Drosophila melanogaster: one gene and its partners. The protein of the gene in region 4 interacts with the protein of the main gene of each other region in a pairwise test. Each region holds a gene or a part of one and is shown on either strand. Other genes may lie near its edges. The genes, in order: CG3713, Cen, CG10510 and Usp8.

Region 1 (3,213 bases), on a different chromosome or scaffold from region 4:
AACTCGACTCCAGCGTTCTCTGTTGGAAAATGGGCCTTTTGCTAAGACATTAAGCATACGCAGAGTAACAAAAACATGTAGTCCTTGCTGGACCTGATTTTTCTCACTGCATGCATGTGGGGGATAGGTTAAAGAGAAAATGGAAATTGCGGGAATGGGAATGGTGAATGGTGAATGGGAGAGGGGAAACGCGCAGTGCAGTGCCGTGGGGCAAACTCAATGCCGGCCCAGGCCTCCCATGTGTGTTTGTGGCAAGTTAATGACACACCTTAACCCATGTTAACCTAGTTTTTCATGTTGTGGTTATTCTTGTCGTGCTTGTTCTTCTTTCCACTTGACCCAAAGCCCAAAAAAAAAAAAGGAGAGTGGTGTGGAGAGGATGTCGGTGCGTATGGGCCTGGCCTTCATGCGGTTGACATGAATTTGACTGTGGCATGATTGGCCTACTTTCTGTCTTTTGCTTGCGCTCTAGGCTTTTTCGCATAAATAAGCTATTTGTGACCAATTTGCATTTTCCGCGTTATATTTCTTAACTGACACAATAAAAAGTTCGAAAGGCGAATGACGGCAGAATAGGAAGAGCTATAGCAAAATCCAACATATAAACAAACAATGCCCAAAGGGCAGCATAGATCTAGGGTAAGATCAGCATAAGAAAAAAATGGAAAAATGGACCGAGTGCGTTTAATTAGTCACATTCCGACATCATAATACCTTTAATAAAGCAACCAACTTAATATTAACAAATGGGGACCATAAAGTGTGAAATGTGGAGCGGGAGTCCTCAAAGGACCTGCGGATGGCAAGCAATGGCCTTCATTTATTTTCCTCAGCCGCAGCTGCTGCTTCTTTCTCAGCTTGTTAAGCATAATTAAAATCACAGAGCGGGATGGAGAGAGGCGCAGAGAGCCAGGGAGGAGAGGGACAGAGCTAGTGAGTAAGTGTGATTAAAAGATTGCAAATTTCTCACTCTTATTCATTTTTTTTAAGCTCTTCTTTCTGGCCAAATTGAATTTTTCGTTGCAGCAGACAGCGAGTGAGTGAGTAGGACAGAGCAGAAATGCATTGAACTGATCAGGGTAGTAACAGCACCATGTAGAATCGAAACTTTATTCACGTTAAATCCCCAATTATGTTGGTCTAAATAATGCTTGGTATTAAATAGTAGTATTCCCTGCAGAGGGCTCAAAAGTGTTTTTTTTTTTTGTTTTTGTGGAACGGAAGCCACCTCGCAATTCGACTTTAATGAGTAAACAGGGCGTGCAGACGCTATGCAAATGCTTTAGTCCCATTGAATTTGATGGCCGCGCATAAATGTAATTATAATGTGCATTCTATACAGCAACAAACATAAATGCATAAGTGCATAAATGCGCGCGCGTGTGTGTGTGGACAGTGGATTACGTAATGCCGATGCAGTGAATACGATATAATGTGCTATGCATAATGCATGATCGCACTCCTTAATCAACGCCAAACAAGCGACATTTAATTTTAATTTTAATTAATTTTGTCATTTGCTTTTTACACCGATGACGATGGATTTACCGGAAAACGAGCGAGTCTGTAATCCATCCATTTTCGAATTCTGCTGTGGACGCAGCTGTGCTGTGGATTGTGGGGCGTGGGGCTTGGAGCGCGGATTTGTGAACGCGTGGATGCCTGGGGCTGTAGAAGTAGTAGGGTAGTATAGTAGTAGGTGGGCCTCCGATATCGTCAGTGCTGCGAAATCAGCTGTCGGGCGAGCACCGCATAATCAGAGGTGGGGATGTTTCTGGGCTTCTTGGTGGATCTGCTGTACTGCCGACGCTGCGGGGACGACTGTATGATGGAATTCCCATCGACTTCCGCGAATGAAGAAGCAGCGCCGAAAGTGGTAAAGGTCGAACTGCCGCCGCTGCCGCCACTGACCTTTGAACTCATCCGCAATCCATTGGCTGCCGACCAGGAGTGCGATGATAGCTTCGAAGGCTTCGTCGATGGTTATGATGATCCCAGGCTGCCGGAAACCATCATCTGATTCAAAAAAAGCTTGCCACTCACTGGCATTCCGCACTCCGCTTCATTTGGTTTAATTAAAACTCTTTTTGCCATAATCCAATTAAGACCAAAGGCAAAAACCAAATGACAACAAATGGCATAATGGCCAGACAACAAAACAGACGGCAAAAAATAGAAAAACTCGACAAACTCAAACAAAGCTCCGCACAAAGCAAAAAAAAAAAAACTGAACAAAACAAAATGCAAACAAACAATGCAATAAAATTCAATTACAACAAAATTTTAATTAACTTTTTGCAATCAAAACACAAACCAAATGAGGAGACAACTGGCATCCGAATTGAAAGCCAATAAAAATGGGCGTAATAACCTAACCAATCTACAGGTCATCGATGGACAGGAGAGGGTTAAACGAATCTGACAAAGGCTGTGTACGTTAGCTTCAAATGGGATAGGATTACTTGAGTGTATCATGTTATGTGTGCAAAAGTTTAAAAATGTATATGCACGCACATATGGTAAATGTTTGGATTCGATTGGGAGCACCAAAGAACCAGGCACAGTTTTCCAAACAATAGAAACTACTCGTAGTCGTGTGCCAACTATCGGATACCTTATAGTCTGTATTAAAGTTTGTTATTGACTTATTTACTCTACGAGTACTGATGGAAATGAGTATAAATATGAAAATATTGTTTGTAAACTGTTAAAATGTTTTATTTCGTTTTGTGGGGCGGTAGGTCGCATTACGTATACGACGCGCAGACCACAGAGTAATACGTTTCTAAAGCAAGTTTGCAGTTGCACTGTTTCATTGTTGACCTATCAATTGGGCTCTTCTTCCGGTCGTAGCATACAGTCAGTGTGAACTCGTTTCTTCCAAAGCAATTCCGAGTCGGATAAGACACAGCTACTGCAGCCCATCAAGATCTGCTTCCATGCTCCTTGCAGCATTGTCCACCCACCCTTTAAGACCTCCTATATATTCACATCTGTATCGCAATCGCGAGAAAGACAACTTTTAGTGCGACATTCGCTGGAAACTTTCAGCAGAGCGGCAAACGACACCTAAACCGACTAATGGGCAAAGTCACCTCCTTTGGCAGTAGTGGCTTCGGGGGTTTACTTCACCCATTGTGAGCCATTTGTTTGCTGGAATTGCATTCGTGGCTGCGAAATAACATTTTCCGTTTCCGTTCTTGTTGCGACTGC
Region 2 (5,116 bases), on a different chromosome or scaffold from region 4:
AACCAAACCGTATTTACATAAATGTATACAAAACAAATCGTATATTTTCATTGGTTTGAAATAAATACATAAAACAATTTAACTTGTTTTACTTGATATTTTAGGTGTCTGGGAATTGAAAGCTGCATTAAAATGTTTTGTCTGTTCTGCTTTGTAAAGATTATTTGTTTTTTCTATTACAAGTGTCTTAACCAAAGACATTTGGTTAACTTCTGAGAATCATAATTACTTATAAGTTAAATTCCAATTGGCAGTCTTATATATCAAACGTAAACTGACAGGAACGACGTAATGTTGTGCCTGCAGACAGGACAGCGGTCTTCTAAAAGGAGCACGAGCTGCAGGGAGCACTCTTTGCAGAGGCAGAGGTGCCGGCATGGCATGACTACTACGTTCCTGCTTTGAGCCATGCACACGACACAGCGTTCTGGACTCGCGGATCCTGCGTTCTCTGACACATACCAAACATTGTGTATGAAGTGTTGCAATTTATGATGGGTCCATAGGTAAACGCTTTGCGTCTTCGTCGAGATTTCAATGCGTCCACGTTGCAGCAGGTAGATGAGCATCAGGTACACATAGCGGCGGAACATATAGAGAACGAGGAGCAGGGCCAATCCTATCGAGGCCCGGAACGCACTGTTCAGCAAGCTCAAGCCATGGGCCACGATTGAGTGCACCACAAAGTCTAGGAGGCAGTCCCAGAGGAATAGTATGGCCCTCGGCAGCAGCATCAGCAGCCACAAGATGCCATCACCCAGATCGATGAGTAAGTTGCAGATGAATCGGGATATGCAGTGACCAAAATCGAGTACATTCTTGAGCCCGCCTTTGGTGCCGCCGTAGAAGTAGTCCGCCACATCTAGCGTGATGAGGCCCAAGTCGCGGATGCCCTCGTTGATATTCCTGACCGCGCATCTCAACAGATTCCATCCTTTCCTGCTGCCCTCCACCAAACAGAAGCCGACGAGGTAGCTGCCCCACAGGAAGTAGTACACGCCAGTAATCACTGCATCAATCACGCTGGCCAGCGGACGCAGCAGGACCAGATCCACAAGCTCCGCTGCCCGAATTAGAGCGTCCAGCATGGCGGGGGGCTCATACTGTCCTCGAATTAAGAAAAGGAAGAAACACAAAATCAAAACAAGAACGCCGGCCGCTTAGTGTGACCAGGCGGTGGTTGGTAATTAAAGCCAAGCTATCGTTGCGATAAGGTAGCGTCAAATAATTACTTATCTTAAATATTTGTATAATTAATATATATATTTATTTTTAACACCCCACACATTATCGGTTGCACTTCCTAGATATATTTAAACTTAGATGGTATCTGAACTTTAAATACGCCAAATTCTAGGGTAACTTAAATTAATAATGTTCAAACAAATATTTTGCTTCTGTGAGCAAAGGAATTACTAAGGAGACATAACAATTTGGATTTATTAATTTTGACAACTATAAATATGCGTAATAATTAATATGGGTATTCATGTACTGATCTATTATGATATTGCATGCTTCTTTCAAAGACAATGAAAGCTCAAAAATATAATTATACATCCGTGCATTTTGCTGGTATTTCAGAATCCAACAAGGTTTCCCCAAACAACTCGCGAGGGGTTATATAAGAAAGGCGAGCTTAAATCATAGCCCTATCTGAGCAGGAATCCCCCTAATGCGAATAATCCTATTATAAATTTATTTCCGGTTCTGCTAGGAAGTTCATTTCGGTTCTTTGTCTGCAGGTCGATTGTGTATAATAAAAAGCATTAATTAACTATTCGTACATGCAGTTGCGCCCTAGTACGTAGGGCTTTTTCTGCACTCGCTGCAATACCATACTTTTTGTTTTTGGGGATGAAACAGTAAAAAAGTTACTGTTGTAGCAGTTTTCCACCATTGAGAGGACATTTGCCAAGTAATTACTGTTTGAGTTTTGCTTTGCTCACAAAGCTCTGCTGCTAAATGAACTAAAATCGATTAAATCTTTAAATTTTCGCCAGAGTTCGCATCAAGCCCAAGCTTAGAAAGGTCCAAGTCCAAGATGGAGGAATCCAATCACGGTTCGGCTGGCTGTGAAAACGTATCGCAGTTCATGCTCGATGACCTACAATTGGCAGCAGAGCTGGGAAAAACGCTCCTGGAACGCAATAAGGAGCTGGAAACCTTCATCAAGGAGTACAAGATTAAGGGGGATGAGCAGGAACTGGAGATCTTGCATCTGCGCAAGCACATTAATGCGATGACCGAGGTGAATGATTCACGGCTTAAGGTCTACGAGCAGCTGGAAGTGGGCATTCAGGATCTGGAGCGTGCCAATCAGCGGCTAAATCTGGAGAAGAATCGGGACAAGAAGCAGATTAAGACGCTGACCACCAACACGGAAGTCCTGGAAGCCCGCTGCGAGGAACTGAGTCAACTTCTGAGCGATGCTCGGCAATCCCTGAGCACCGAGCGGCGGAAGGTGGATCAGTACCAGCAGGAACGCTATAGGATGCAGCATTCGACCGAGGGTTCTGTGTCCAGTCACAGCATTCAATCGCTGTGCAAGGAGCAGAGTGTTGAGTTCTCCAAACTAGATGTTATGGCCATAGCGAACTCGACAGGATTGGAGGATATCTCCTTCAGTAATGCCACCATGTGCGAGAGGACCGCCGTTAAGGGTGAAGACAACGAGGAATTGGTAAAGCTGCTCAGCGAAATGGAGGTGTTAAAACGTGACTTCTTGGCCGAACAGCAGCGGTGCACCGAGCTGGAGGAGCAGTTGGTGACCATAATCCAAGACAACCAAGGTCTGCAGACACGTCTGCTGGAGAACAGTGCCAATGAGGGAACAATGTCGATGCACGAGGAGTTCAGCCTCCTGGACGACGTGAGACAAGGCCAAATGTGTAGTCGCTGCCTGAGGGATATTAACGAAAGCAACACCAATATGGATGATCAATCCTCCATTGCCCCAACCGAAGAAATCTACGAAGATGACGATCGCAGCATACTAAGCGAAAGCACCTCGAAATGCGATAATAGTGGTGCGGATTATAAGGAACGCTTCCGGATTCCCGAGGACCTCAATCCCAACTCTAGCGACAAACCAAATCCTTATCGGGACCTAGTCGAGAAATATGAAGCTCTGGTGGAGGTGAAGAGAACCTCGAATGCGGTCAAGAGCAACTTCACCAGCAATCCAGATGGGAAGACCATGACCGAGTCCAGTCAAGGCAAAAAATCAGAAACAATTGTTAACAGCTCAAAGGAATCTGACCTTATGTTGGATTCAACACGTAAGCGCACTCCAACCGAGTTTTCGGAATCAGAAACTACATCGTCGGGATTCTCGGATGAAACTAGCAACAAGTCTACGCAAACTGACGAGCGACCGAGTTACTTCCTTTGCTCAATAAGTAATGGAAACGATTGTAAATTCAGTATTTATGACGACGTCAGCCCCATTGAATCTCATTTCCGTAATCGCCCGGAGTACAGGGAACTCTTCAAGGAGATATTTGGAGTGCTCAAGAAGGCAGCTGATAATAACGAAGAAGACAAGCTTCCGTCCCTGCATGACGACGCACAGATTACAGAAAAATTACCCTTGGTGGCGGCCAAAGTACCCCCGGTAACACCCGAGAGGGAGGAATCTCCAGATGACTTCATTGACGACACACAGAGCGTCGTATCCTCAGTTATATCCAACCAGTCCATTGCAATGTCCGAGTGCGTTACCAAACTGGAGCGGAAGACAGCCAAAAAACACATCTTTGATGTCCGAAACCAACAAAACCAATCGTCCCTAACGCAATCCACTTTGTTAAACAGCTCCTCGAAGGAAACAACTGTCGGCGAACCGAATTATAAACCCATAAGGGAGAATGGCCAGATACTTACTCCACTCAAGCGCGAACCACTCGAATATCTAACCGTAGGTGTCGGAATCAAGAAGAAGAACCGACGAAAGCACCGAAACCAAAGCTCATCTGGAGATCGCATCGAATTGTTTAACTCCCGGGAATTTACTCCCAGGAACAGTCCTCTGGCCATGAACAACCGTGGTGGTGGACAAGGGAGCTCAAAGATGTGTACGGATACATTGAATGCTGAATTCGGACGCAGTAACCGCAGACGGACAACTCCATCCTCAAGCAACTGGAATGGCTCTCCCATGGTGATCTATAACAAGAATATGAATACTCCCCAAACTTCTCGGGGCCGAGTAATAGAGCTCAATGGCGTCGAGTTTTATCATAACACGGTATCGCAAGACTTACATAAACTTAAAAAGTTAGACTTATCCTACGCCGAAGTTTTGCGCCGGGCCGATGCCGGCGAACATGGACCCACAAGATCACATTCCCAGCGACAGCAACACAACGGAGCCAACATTCGCAAGAGTCATCATCATCAGTTTCGTCAAAAGTAAACTTGTTTAGAGAATGTAAATAAGCAATTAAACAGTGCATTCTAGCCATAGGGCATTCTACCATTTTTAAATTGTGTGTGCCATGCAGTCTAGTCCGCTTTTTCATGTATAGACAGTTAAATAACAATAACTAAATAACTATAATCGGAAATTTAATTTTATTTCAGCATGATAAAATAAATAATTTAATGACCTACAGAAATCTTACTCTTTCACGATATTCAGCCAAGTTTCAATAGGAATATATGTAGTTGCTTTACAAATTCAGATATAAAAAAGTAAACATTTATTGTTAACTTACAAAGTAAAGGCAAATAAAATATTCTTGCACTTTCATGATATGCCCGTCTAACTACTTTCCAGACTTCCGTTGGTAATGCCCAGTTTGCTAAGCAAACTTATTATATCGCTGTTCGTTCTCATGACAGCCATAACTTCCTGTTGCTGCTGCTGCATGACCCTTAGCCGATTCCGCTCCTCTATCTTGGCCAGCTGATTATTGTTGTTTATGGTCTTTGTGTCCACATCCAGCTTCAGCTCCGACTTAACGTGATACAACTCATCGCGTATTCCGTTCAACTTTCTTTCGCAATCGCGCACGTCCTTCTCCAAAATTTGAGTTTTAAGGTAGACGGTCTGAGCCAACTTATACCAGTCCGCCAGGCACTCTGCGATTTGTGCCACTGTCGGATTTACGTT
Region 3 (4,363 bases), on a different chromosome or scaffold from region 4:
GAGTCAAGCATACCCATTGCCATATGTTGAAGACGCCTCTGCATTTTGATGGACCAAAGCACTACAGTAACACTTTACACTGAGAGAAATATTGATATTTGCAACAGTTAGATTAGATTGCACTGGTGCTGAACTAAAGCTAGTTACATATCTCCATGTTGCACTTAAAACATATTTCTAGTCTCCTAAGAGTCTGTCGTTGCTCCTATTATTTAGTTTTTAACTACGCAAGCTTTCTTATTAACTAAAAACATGAGCTTCGGCATTCTTTTAGGGAATTAGCAATATTTAGTAGAGTAAAGACTTGCAGTTTGCAAAATAATATACATAAGTAGAAGTACAGCTAAATTTCTGTTTAAAACAAAAACTATCTGTTTTAAAATATATTGATTTTGGCACTTTGAGATACCCATGCTGTGTTCAGCAATTTCAAAACTATTAAAATAAACAATATACTCTTCGATAATCAAATATTTGTCTTTATAGCATTTTTTCTTGCGATTGCAAACAAGGTAAATATATTAATTTAACTATTATTCAATTTAATTGAGCTCATTTTTATATTTAAACATAACTTTGAATGCCACATATTTTCAAAAGTCCAGAATCACCTCATTCAAAGTGGCTTCGGCCTCCCACTTGGCCTCCTTGTGTGCCGTCGGTGAATGCACGACCTTTCTGGACTTGAATTCCTGGCACTTTGTCTCGAAAAGTTTGGGTGGCATGGGTTGAGTTGGCGATGAAACATGCATGGCGGTTCGCAGCTCTTCCGGATCCTCGGTGACACTCATGGATTTGATAAAGTCGATCAGGCGCTGATTGTCCTCAGTGAGGCGACGCTTCTCCTCCAGCATCAGCAGGTTTTGAGCTTCGGCCATCGCCTGGCGGCGCCAGAAGTTCCTGAGACTTTTGTTTAGCTCCACGAGTTCCTCCTCGGTCATGTCCACGTGATCTTTCAGGTTGAGAGTCTGCAGCTTGAAGTATTCATCGACATCCACCTCGGTTTCGTCGAATACCTCGCCGCCGAGGATTACCTTTTCCGATTCGGTTTGCAGTTTCCTGCAAGTGATCGACAGGGCCAAGAGTAATTCCCCACTTTTCACGTGCTTCTCCATTTGCTGGAATAATATTTCAATTTAGAAATGGGTAATAGGGCTTGGGACAAAGGTTCACCTTGGTCAACTCGTAGCACTCGCCGGTCAGGATGCGCAACTTCTCGTGCGTGATCTCGCGATCCATCTCCTGGTTGAGCTCAATCTTCTTGCGCACGTTGGTGAAGTACTGGAACTCCAGGCGAAGATCGTTGAGCGTGGAGTTGTTCTCCGCATCCATGCGAACCATTTCGCGCTGCAGTTCCGCCTGCATGTTGATGTACTTGGACTCCTCGGCGTTTAGCTTGCGTGACTCCTCCATGAAAGCCGCCTGCCGCTCCGTCAGCCAGTGGATCTTCTCGTACTTGTGGGCATCCAGTTCGGTGCTCCTCAGCGACTCCACGAAGTCGTTCAGTTGCTGCTGCATGTGCGTCATCCGGCGGACAATCTGATCTCGAATCTTAAATCTGTTCTCAATCTCCGTATTCACGCGATCGTCGCGCTGCTCCAGGTAGATAGTGTAATCCTCCTTCAGCTGATCCCGGGTGGTGATGTTGGTGGCATGGATTATGTTCTCGGAGTTCGTTTTCATGGCTTCCACCTCTTCGGTGCGCCGGCGCACCTCTTCATAGTAATCCCTCAGCATCTCGTCAGCCTGCTGGTCATACATGCTCTTCACCCCGCCCAACATCACGTGGAAGCAGTCGCGAATGTGATCAATCAGCTCCACCGTTTTGCTGTAGCAACGCACGTGCTGATCCTGCGTCTGCGCCATGTCGTCCAGAAGCATCTTGATGTGGTCGTTCTTGGCCTGAATGTTACGTTCCGAGCGCTCGCCCCAAGCCCTCATCTCCTCGTTTAGCTCCTTGATCTTGATTTCGCGGCACATCTCGTGCCACTCCTCGTTGCCTTTCTCCTCCATATGCTTGCCCATCTCCAGCTCGCGCATCAGGGCATCCTGAGAGGATCATGGCGCAACATTAGAAATGATGCGTTTACAATTTTAATATAGTCTTAATATATTATTTTTATTATAAAAATTAATAATATTAAGGATTTGCTTAGGTTCATCCTTAATAAAAACTCTGCGAAAGTTAGTTGAACCCACCCGCATGATGAGCCGCTTCTCCTCGATCATAGCCAGTCGCTTGGCCTCTTTCTTGGCGGCCTTCTTCTGAGCCTTGGTTAGTTTGGGCGGTCCTTGTGGCTCCGGCTCCTCCTCCAGTTCTTGGAGGTAGTTTTCCGAAACACGCGTCAAGCGTGCCAAGATTTCGGCCATTTTGCCGATGTGTAGTTGTAGCTGAACTAAATGCGTAAATCAAAGGTGAAATTTTTGGAAAATTGACGGGGGAGCTAAATTCGAATTGTGTGCCTGTTTGAAAGCTGAATCGAAGTTTGGCGCACAGCTTTCGACGGGCAAATTCCAACACTGGATACCAGCTTTTTTAACGACTATTCGCACAGCATCTGAAGCTTTAACGCCCGCCACTGATTTCCTCAGTTGACTCTCAAAGCTTGGCTCGCGAGGTTGTTTATAGCGTCGCGACTCCAGGATTCCCCAAAAACGATTCCTTTCCGGGTAGCTAAAGCCTGGCTGGCTTGCTTACTAACGGCACGCCACATCGAACTGTGTGTGTGTGAGCGTGTGTATCTGTGTGTTGCGGTCCTTTTTCCCGGCAGGCAGTGCCTTGTAAACAAAAATAACTCTGCTGCCGAGGAGAGGTTGCCATCGAGGGTGGTTACAACCCCCAAATCTGAAACATCCGACGACAAAGGCAACTACAAAGCTCCGCGCAGGATAAGTGGCAAGGGCACTCCTGCCTGCCAACTTTTCGGGGTTGCAGACAGTCGGCAAACAAGCTGCGAATGCGACTTTAAACGTCCATAAACATTCAGGCAGAAAACGAAAATAATAAAACGACGGTCGTTCGGTTTAACTGGGCATCGAAGCGCCTCGCATCTGCAAGTGCAATTGTTACTGTATCTGCATCTGTATCTATTCGTGAGCGGTGAAAATGAGCGAATCCGGTGGCTATCAGAAAATGCCGCCCGGCTGGGACTGCAAATACGATCAAGCAACTGGAAATTGGTGAGTTGCATGTGCACAGCCCGACGTCATAAATATTTATGCATCCATTAACCACAATGTCGTGAAATGCGGACTGTACTGGGAGATGTGGTGGCCAGTTGTGGGATATAGGGGTTCCATTTGATAGGTTGCCACGGGGGCAACTGATAAATTTGCGTGCCAACGTCGCTTGGGGTGGCTCTTTCGGTGGGCGAAGGATTATGGTTGGGTGTGTGGTTGTGGGTGTATGTAGGGGGCCTTGGGGGCGTAAGTCGCTTACTTTAAAATGATTGGGTGGTAGGCGTCCGGTTGAGGTGGTGTTTGCCATGTTTGGCCTTATAGTGATAAGGAAATTATTCGTTAGTTCGGTGGCTTGCAGAACTTAGTTTTGAAACACCTTTGGTATTTAAACTCTTAGGACGCAAGCTCGGTACTAATTTAAATTATTCATTTAACACACAATGGAACGAAGTACAAGCTTGGATTGGATATTGGCTAACTTTTCTTCAGCTTATAATCGAAAGAACTTTCTAACATAAAATTTTCAAAATGTTTTATGTTTGAAGAAAATGTTTTAATTTAAATTTAAATTATTATTACTGATACGCAAAACAATTTTACTGAACTCTAAAGACCCAGCGTGTGGGTACCATGTGGTTCCCTATGGGCTACTTAGCTTAGTGCTCCTTAGCCACTCCAATTGGCCTCGTTTCAGCGGCATAAATTGTGTCACTTCCGCGTCGTCGGATGCCAGCGGGGTCTTTAACATCTCCTTAGCCTATCATACATATATACATATAACTTAACCCCTTATGCTTAAAAAGCCATGTGCAATTAAGCAACATACGTTGTCATACGTTAATTCAAGAGGCCACTCAACCGAAGACGAGCTTTCCATCCTCACGACGTCCTCGTCGACATCCACCCTCTCCATTCCGAAAATCAGAGCAGAGATGGCCTGTCAAACGACGATGAAAATGACGACTGTGCGTCCGCCTTTTGGCAGCTACTTGGCACGTGCCTTGGTTTAGGCGGTTCCTTCACCCTTTACCTGTCCGTCCTCCCAAGGGACCATCAACATGTGGGGAGAATCCCAAACCAATCCACTCCAATCCAGTCCACCACCAACCGGCCGGCTTTAGGATGTGCCTCCACCCTTGGCCTGAATCCAAGAGCTTTCGAATGGCCCTGGGTGGGAGGTCAT
Region 4 (6,217 bases):
CGTGGTCGGTGCTGCCGCTTTAGCTGGCTACTAGCCAGATTAGATTAAGTGATTGCAAGCACCTGTATTTTTGGCCATTTTTTAGGTGCACTGTTATAGCTATGTTCTTCTTTTGAATCATCAATTTCATCATCTTATTTAATAAGTTTAAATCATAACTCTTTATAAATGAAAAATAGGGCATACATAAAACACTATAAATGTAATAATTGATAAATCAACTAACTAGCTATTTATTGAAAGCAAGAGTTGGCAACACTGCATTTGCTAAAGAGCGGGGGCGTTTTACAGTGTGACCGTTAGTTGGAAGTGAATATATTTACTTATCGGATATCTCGAATTGAACTTTTCGGCGCGAAAATTAGCTGAATTTTTCTTTGCAATGGTAAAATAACTTTCACCCCCTTTTTTATATTATTTGTTGAGTGTAAAATACCCGCTCTCCCCAATTTGTTTTCTAAAAACCCTACGCATGATTCTTTCAAAGAAATTCTTTGTATCAGAAATTGAATTTCGTTTATTTGGTTTTAAAATATATTTGCAAAATACAATAAACTATAGTCCCGCATACACAGGCGTATATGCGGGCTTCTCTTTGTTACACTGGTAATGCACTTGAAGTTCTTGGTTTTAGTGAATGCAGCCTGCACCCATTGAAAATACGCCCACGCGTAATACTGTTCTAAGAGCCTAGACAACAACAAACAAGCGATTATCCTCTTAAATAGCAGTTAACAGTTAAGCGGTAATTTGTAAATGATAAAAGGGTGTGGCGACTAGACCTTAAAAGCTATAATATGAGAGAAAAACAAAAAACAATTAAAACGAAAGGGGTAAAAACCGAAAGGAAACCGAGCGAAGCGTCTACAGAGGCACCTGCATGGGTGGCAGCCAGGTGTAGAAAAGAATGTATGCAGCGCTAGAAACCACGTTAGAGGAGTCCAACGCCGAGACGACCTGATCGTCGAACTTGAACCATTTTCCGTAGTTGGCGCTCTTGCAAAATGCCGTGTAGTGCCCGCCTTCCATGGTGCCGTAGTGATTGGATACGGCGTACAGCTGGTAGGTCTTAGGTGTTACCGCCCGCGATTCCGCCCGTGCTATGTAGGGATTCATGTCCAAGTTCTCGAGCGGGAAGCGCAAGTAGTTCTGCTTCTTCATGTACGAGCCAGAGTTACTGGGATCCGCATAGAAGCTATGCGGGATTTAAGAAATTATAAACAAGCATAGCATAGTGTTAGCATCACTTACCGCTTAAGATGCACCACCAGCACAGGTGGCAGCTTCGATATATCCAGCTTCTTGATGGCATCTCTTTTCGTTTTACAACTAGGACAATTCCAGCCATGGATCCTTTCTCCACTGAAGTACATGTCCATGCACTGGTTCAGCTGACATACATTCGAGTTTGGCGGCAGCTCCAGGCTGAGATTAGAAAAACTCTCGTACGTGGCGGACTCCTTGTGGCAGGCCACACATTTCACAGTGCTCTTCATTTGGCCATAGAATAAATGCAGAATCATGCTCTCCTTCGCCTTGGTAAATTCCAGCCAAGCCTTTTCCGACGCACTGATCATCTCCCGCTGACGGGGCACATGTAGGGTCTGGAGATCCGAGTGCAGCCAGTCCATCAGGATGGTGAGGAATTCGTGTGAGTCCTGCTGGTCAACGCCGCGGAAGATCTTCTGGTACTGGCCCACAACGTACTGCAATGAAGTATGTTTAGTTTAGAAAGAAATTTGGGTGTTTTTTTTTTTTCAGTTGCATACCCTCAAATCTCGGCTGGCCACACACTTGTACTGTCCATTCCAGAGCTCCTTGATGAGTGCAGCCACCTCTTCGATCACCTGGCCATTAGTCTTGTTGCTTCTGCTGATGTAATTCTTGTATTTGTCCGAAATGCAGTACTCGGTCAACTGAGGCGTGTTGCTCAGGCACTGCAGTATGCTGTTCATATAGCAGGTGTTGCCCAGATTCTTCAGTCCAGTCAGTCCACGACCCTGAAATGTTATCCAAGGATATAGTTAACTATTCGGAGATAGAGGAAAATAAAATCTATAGCTATTACTCGTCTCAGCGGAAAGATGGAGCTATAAATGCTGTAGGTGGGCGGAGCTGTTGGCAGCTGGAGCCTCACGCCCGCTACACAAATCATTCGCGGAATCCTGTATAATGCTATTCCTGCTTAACAGTATGGCAATTGTACGTTTCTTTGGTTTGAACATGCTTTGAGTGCGGACGTCGAGCGACTGAGAGTGGGGGTAGAAAGCGCACCAAGAACGGCGCACGTCTGGGCGGGTGTCTTCAAAACGTGACCCGCTGGCTATTGATTTGACTCGTGTCGCGGCTATATTTATGTGGCCAGTGAGTCAACCACCACTACCCAAGCAATACTTACCACATTCTGACCAATGACAGGCGAGAAATCACGAACGCGTTGCGATGTCCTCTCCACATTCCTCGGCTGCGGTTTCATCGCCCGATCGAATGTTGGTATTTCCGCCTTGTTTGGCGCAATTGTCGGATCCGGATCGCCAGTCAACTGGAGCAGGGATTCCAGGCTGTCTGACACGACATGTACGTCCTCCAAGTTCCTGCCCGGCGAAGGCGGGCCCGAAGGTGTTGGTGACTTGTAATGCTTTTTTGTCTCGCGAGCGATCGCCAAAAGGCGCTCCCGCTCTTGACGTTCAAGTTCATGCTGCTCGTCCAAGCGCTGTCGTTCGCGGATCTTGGATTCTATATTCCTCGTTGCCTCGACCTCCTTTTGCGACAACTGCTGCGTAACATTGTGTAGCTCTTGTATGCGACTTAGTTCTTCTCGCAGACGATTGTTTTCCACGATCTACGACACAAACGAACAATTAATCGAACCTTATAAGGTAATTTATAGATCTTACATAGTCCTGGGCCTTGCTCTCCAACTGTAGGATCCTGAAGTGCAACTCCTGGTCCTCGGTAGCATTCAAACCATCGCCCTCTGCTGCTTGACGCTTCCACATTTTTGAGGCCTTCTCCAACTGCTCATCGTTCTGCTCTGCGCGCTGCAAAAACTCGGCCTGATCACGCATGATCTCAGCAATGGGCTTAGCCGGCGGAGAAGGACGGGAAATTCCCTGTTCATTAACGCGAGTGGCCGCTGGCTTGTTGGCCCGATTGAAGTCTGGACGCGGTCTGAAGTCCTTCGCACTAATATCCTCCTTCATGGTGATGTCGTGGATTGAGGGATACTCGATATCATCGATGGTCTCAATGTCGTTGTTGTTCTGCTGCGGCGCCTGCACACTGGGATTAGTGCAATGGGTCGGGTACATCATAATGAAGTACTCATAACCGCCCTCGACAATTTGAATGGGTGCGCGATACGTCACATCCGGATCCCACTACCAGAAAATAATGATTATATGTAATCTATGGCTAAATACCACCCATACTCACGTTCTTCAGGATGTCCAGAAGGGTTGAAATGGCTGTGTTGGTCGCCGGTTGGGCATCTTTGGTGTTCCAGTCCATAAGAACCACCGAATCCTTGACGGAACGCGATGCCCACGACGCCTTGGCGCTGCTGCTAAGACGAGCCTGCAATCTGCCAGCCGACATTCTGTGTAAATCCAATAAGTTAGTATCCAAATAGCGAGATTATTATAATGGACAACTCACCCTGGCGTTATCAACTCCTCGGGCACATTAAATGCACAGTAGTACGTGAGGTGGGAGGCCTCGTAGTCGGCGCTTGGGCGACAGTCCATAACTAGGACCGATTTCTCCTGCATGCGCCGATACAGATCCTGACAGGTTATCAGCCCAAGTCGGGCGTACTGCGTTGGCTGTGTTATCGGCGAGTCCACACCCGCACGCCCATTGCTAACCAGGTCGGGAGCAATTGGTTCCGGCGCTTGGTGCTGCTGAGCATAACGATGCCGCAGAGAGTTGATAATCTCCTCCAGCGTGTCCATAATGCGGCGATTCGACTCGGTGTCGCCCAGCATCTGGCGCACCGTCGTCTTGTGGCTGGGGTAATCGGATTTTTTGTGAATTGCGGTCAGCATATTGAAGTACTTCATGTAGGTGATGTAGGCCAGTTCCTCGTCGCCATCCAGTCTGTACTCCTCGGCGGTCATGTACAGTTTGCGGGCGGTGTTCAGTAGGCTGCGAAGAATGCCAGGTAAATCAAAACAGCCGCATCAGCACCAAATCGCGGTGTCCACTTACATTTTCATGCCCTTGCTGCGCAGATCCGGAATGATGGACATCTTCTCCAGGTCATCAAGGTTGGAGCTCATATGCAGTTTCTTCAACTTGGCCATTATTCGTTTTTTGTTGTCGGGGCGGGCTACGTTGAATTTGGGAATCGGGATCTCGCCGATTTTCCTGTTCTCATAGCAGGAATTTCTCAATCTGCGGGCTGGGCTGCAACAACACAATCATTTGTTATTTTGCATGAAATTTATCGATAACAAAGAAATAGGATGGCGCTGTCAGAAGTGCAAATTTAGATTGTGCAAATTTAGCCATTTAGCTATTAATATTGAAAATCCAACTAGATATGTATTTTAGCTGTACGTGTTTTATTTCAAATAAACAAATTCAAATATAATGAATATGTAACTCAATATTATGAAGATTAAAGCTAAACTACATTTTGTAGCTATTTCTATGGATTTGGAAACAAAATTGATTCTTTTTCCTAATCTACCATTTAAATATAAAATTATATTTTAACACAAAATGAATGATATATATTTTAAAACTATAAATTCGAGCTCACACTTGCAAACTTTTTAATGTTTTTAATACCAATAAACTCCCAAAGTTGAAGGGAAAACGGCTAAAACGACAGCACTGTAGATGTCGTATCACAGCTGATACCCTTTTGTTTTTATTATTTTTAAATGGGCAGGACTTCGAAGGATAAACGAGACATATTCTACCGCCTGGCCAAGGAGCAGGGATGGCGTGCACGAAGTGCTTTCAAACTGCTCCAGGCGGATGAGACCTTTCAGTTGCTAGAAGGTGCAGATCCAACCGCGTGTTTTTCGGAGCGATTCTAATTGTCCACTTATTTCAGGTCTCACCCGAGCCGTGGACCTTTGCGCCGCTCCTGGCAGCTGGTCACAGGTGCTGGCCAAACGCTTGTACGAGCCTCTGCCGCCAGAGGAACGGGAAAAGGTAAAGATCATCGCCGTAGACCTGCAGGGAATGGCTCCGATCGAAGGAGTCAAACAACTGCGGGCGGACATCAGCAAGGAGTCGACAGCCGAGGCCATAATTGAGTTCTTTGGCGGCGAGAAGGCACAGATTGTTGTTAGCGATGGCGCTCCCGATTCTACTGGAATGCACGACTTTGACTCGTACGTTCAGGGCGAACTACTTCTCTCCGCCCTCAGCATATCCACCTTCATACTGGAAGAGGGAGGCTCCTTCGTGTCCAAGATCTACCGGGCAGACAGGACCAGTCGGTTGTACACTCAGCTCAAGCGGTTCTTTAAGAACGTATGCGTGTTCAAGCCCTCCGCCTCGCGCAACTCCAGCATTGAAGCCTTCGTGGTGGCCCGAGAGTTTTGTCTGCCCGATGGCTACAAGCCTTGCAACCTGACGACCGAATGGCACGATCAACCCGAGTCGTGGGTGGGCAGAAAGAAGGAGAGCCCGCCCGTGGTTCAAGTTCCCTTTGTTGCCTACAAGGGCGAGTTGGACTCGGATCGCACATACGATTTGGTATGTTAATACTATATCTTCGTTTGGTTTAAACCACTAAAATGTTTTGTTTTAGGGCGAGAACTATGTGTATAAAGAGCCAGTGCAGCAACCCTTGACGGCCGCCTATCAGGACATTCTGCAGAAAACGAGCCAAGTGAACATAAAATATGAAGGCATTCGCGTTATTCACGATGAGGAAATGTTGAAGAAATGGCTAGAGAATGATGAGAATAAGTCTGAGAAGTTAGGTGCCTGTGTAACGTAAATAAAAGCTTTAAAAAATGAAAAGTTATGAATATGAGTGTAAATTCTGGTGCATCTCAAAATGTATCAAAACTTTGTTGCTCGCGCCACAAGCACCGCGTTCAATTTTTATTATTCCGATACATAACAATATAAACTTAACTCTTATCCTTACGCCGAGCGGTTAACTCCACTATGGGGATCACCTTTTGGTTTTGTAACAGTTAGTAACTACATCCCTAATAGTAATCAACTTATGCAATCAGAGTGCGGTTTT

The links.
Region 1: the proteins of Usp8 (region 4) and CG3713 interact in a two-hybrid assay, tested with the Drosophila melanogaster proteins (one large-scale study listed by BioGRID).
Region 2: the proteins of Usp8 (region 4) and Cen interact in a two-hybrid assay, tested with the Drosophila melanogaster proteins (one large-scale study listed by BioGRID).
Region 3: the proteins of Usp8 (region 4) and CG10510 interact in a two-hybrid assay, tested with the Drosophila melanogaster proteins (one large-scale study listed by BioGRID).

The regions. Positions count from the first base shown.
Region 1 is NC_004354.4:845,659-848,871, reverse strand, and holds CG3713 (uncharacterized protein), read left to right. Parts: upstream 1-1,714; 5' UTR 1,715-1,768; coding exon 1,769-2,020; 3' UTR 2,021-2,701; downstream 2,702-3,213.
Region 2 is NT_033779.5:20,678,421-20,683,536, reverse strand, and holds Cen (centrocortin), read left to right. Parts: upstream 1-1,690; 5' UTR 1,691-1,918; exon of another isoform or gene 1,919-2,003; 5' UTR 2,004-2,044; coding exon 2,045-4,417; 3' UTR 4,418-4,616; downstream 4,617-5,116. Other genes in the region: CG2617 (uncharacterized protein), read right to left, coding at 264-1,088; IKKepsilon (I-kappaB kinase epsilon), read right to left, coding at 4,766-5,116.
Region 3 is NT_037436.4:21,207,625-21,211,987, forward strand, and holds CG10510 (uncharacterized protein), read right to left. Parts: upstream 2,461-4,363; 5' UTR 2,371-2,460; coding exon 2,200-2,370; intron 2,050-2,199; coding exon 1,174-2,049; intron 1,119-1,173; coding exon 594-1,118; 3' UTR 524-593; downstream 1-523. Other genes in the region: CG10508 (uncharacterized protein), read left to right, coding at 3,107-3,180.
Region 4 is NT_033777.3:21,132,498-21,138,714, reverse strand, and holds Usp8 (ubiquitin specific protease 8), read right to left. Parts: upstream 4,454-6,217; 5' UTR 4,305-4,453; coding exon 4,210-4,304; intron 4,147-4,209; coding exon 3,658-4,146; intron 3,599-3,657; coding exon 3,436-3,598; intron 3,381-3,435; coding exon 2,898-3,380; intron 2,843-2,897; coding exon 2,399-2,842; intron 2,234-2,398; exon of another isoform or gene 2,156-2,233; coding exon of another isoform or gene 2,069-2,155; intron 2,001-2,068; coding exon 1,770-2,000; intron 1,707-1,769; coding exon 1,252-1,706; intron 1,196-1,251; coding exon 865-1,195; 3' UTR 501-864; downstream 1-500. Other genes in the region: Trm7-34 (tRNA methyltransferase 7-34), read left to right, coding at 4,890-5,010, 5,066-5,715, 5,771-5,962; Ice2 (uncharacterized protein), read right to left, coding at 6,217-6,217.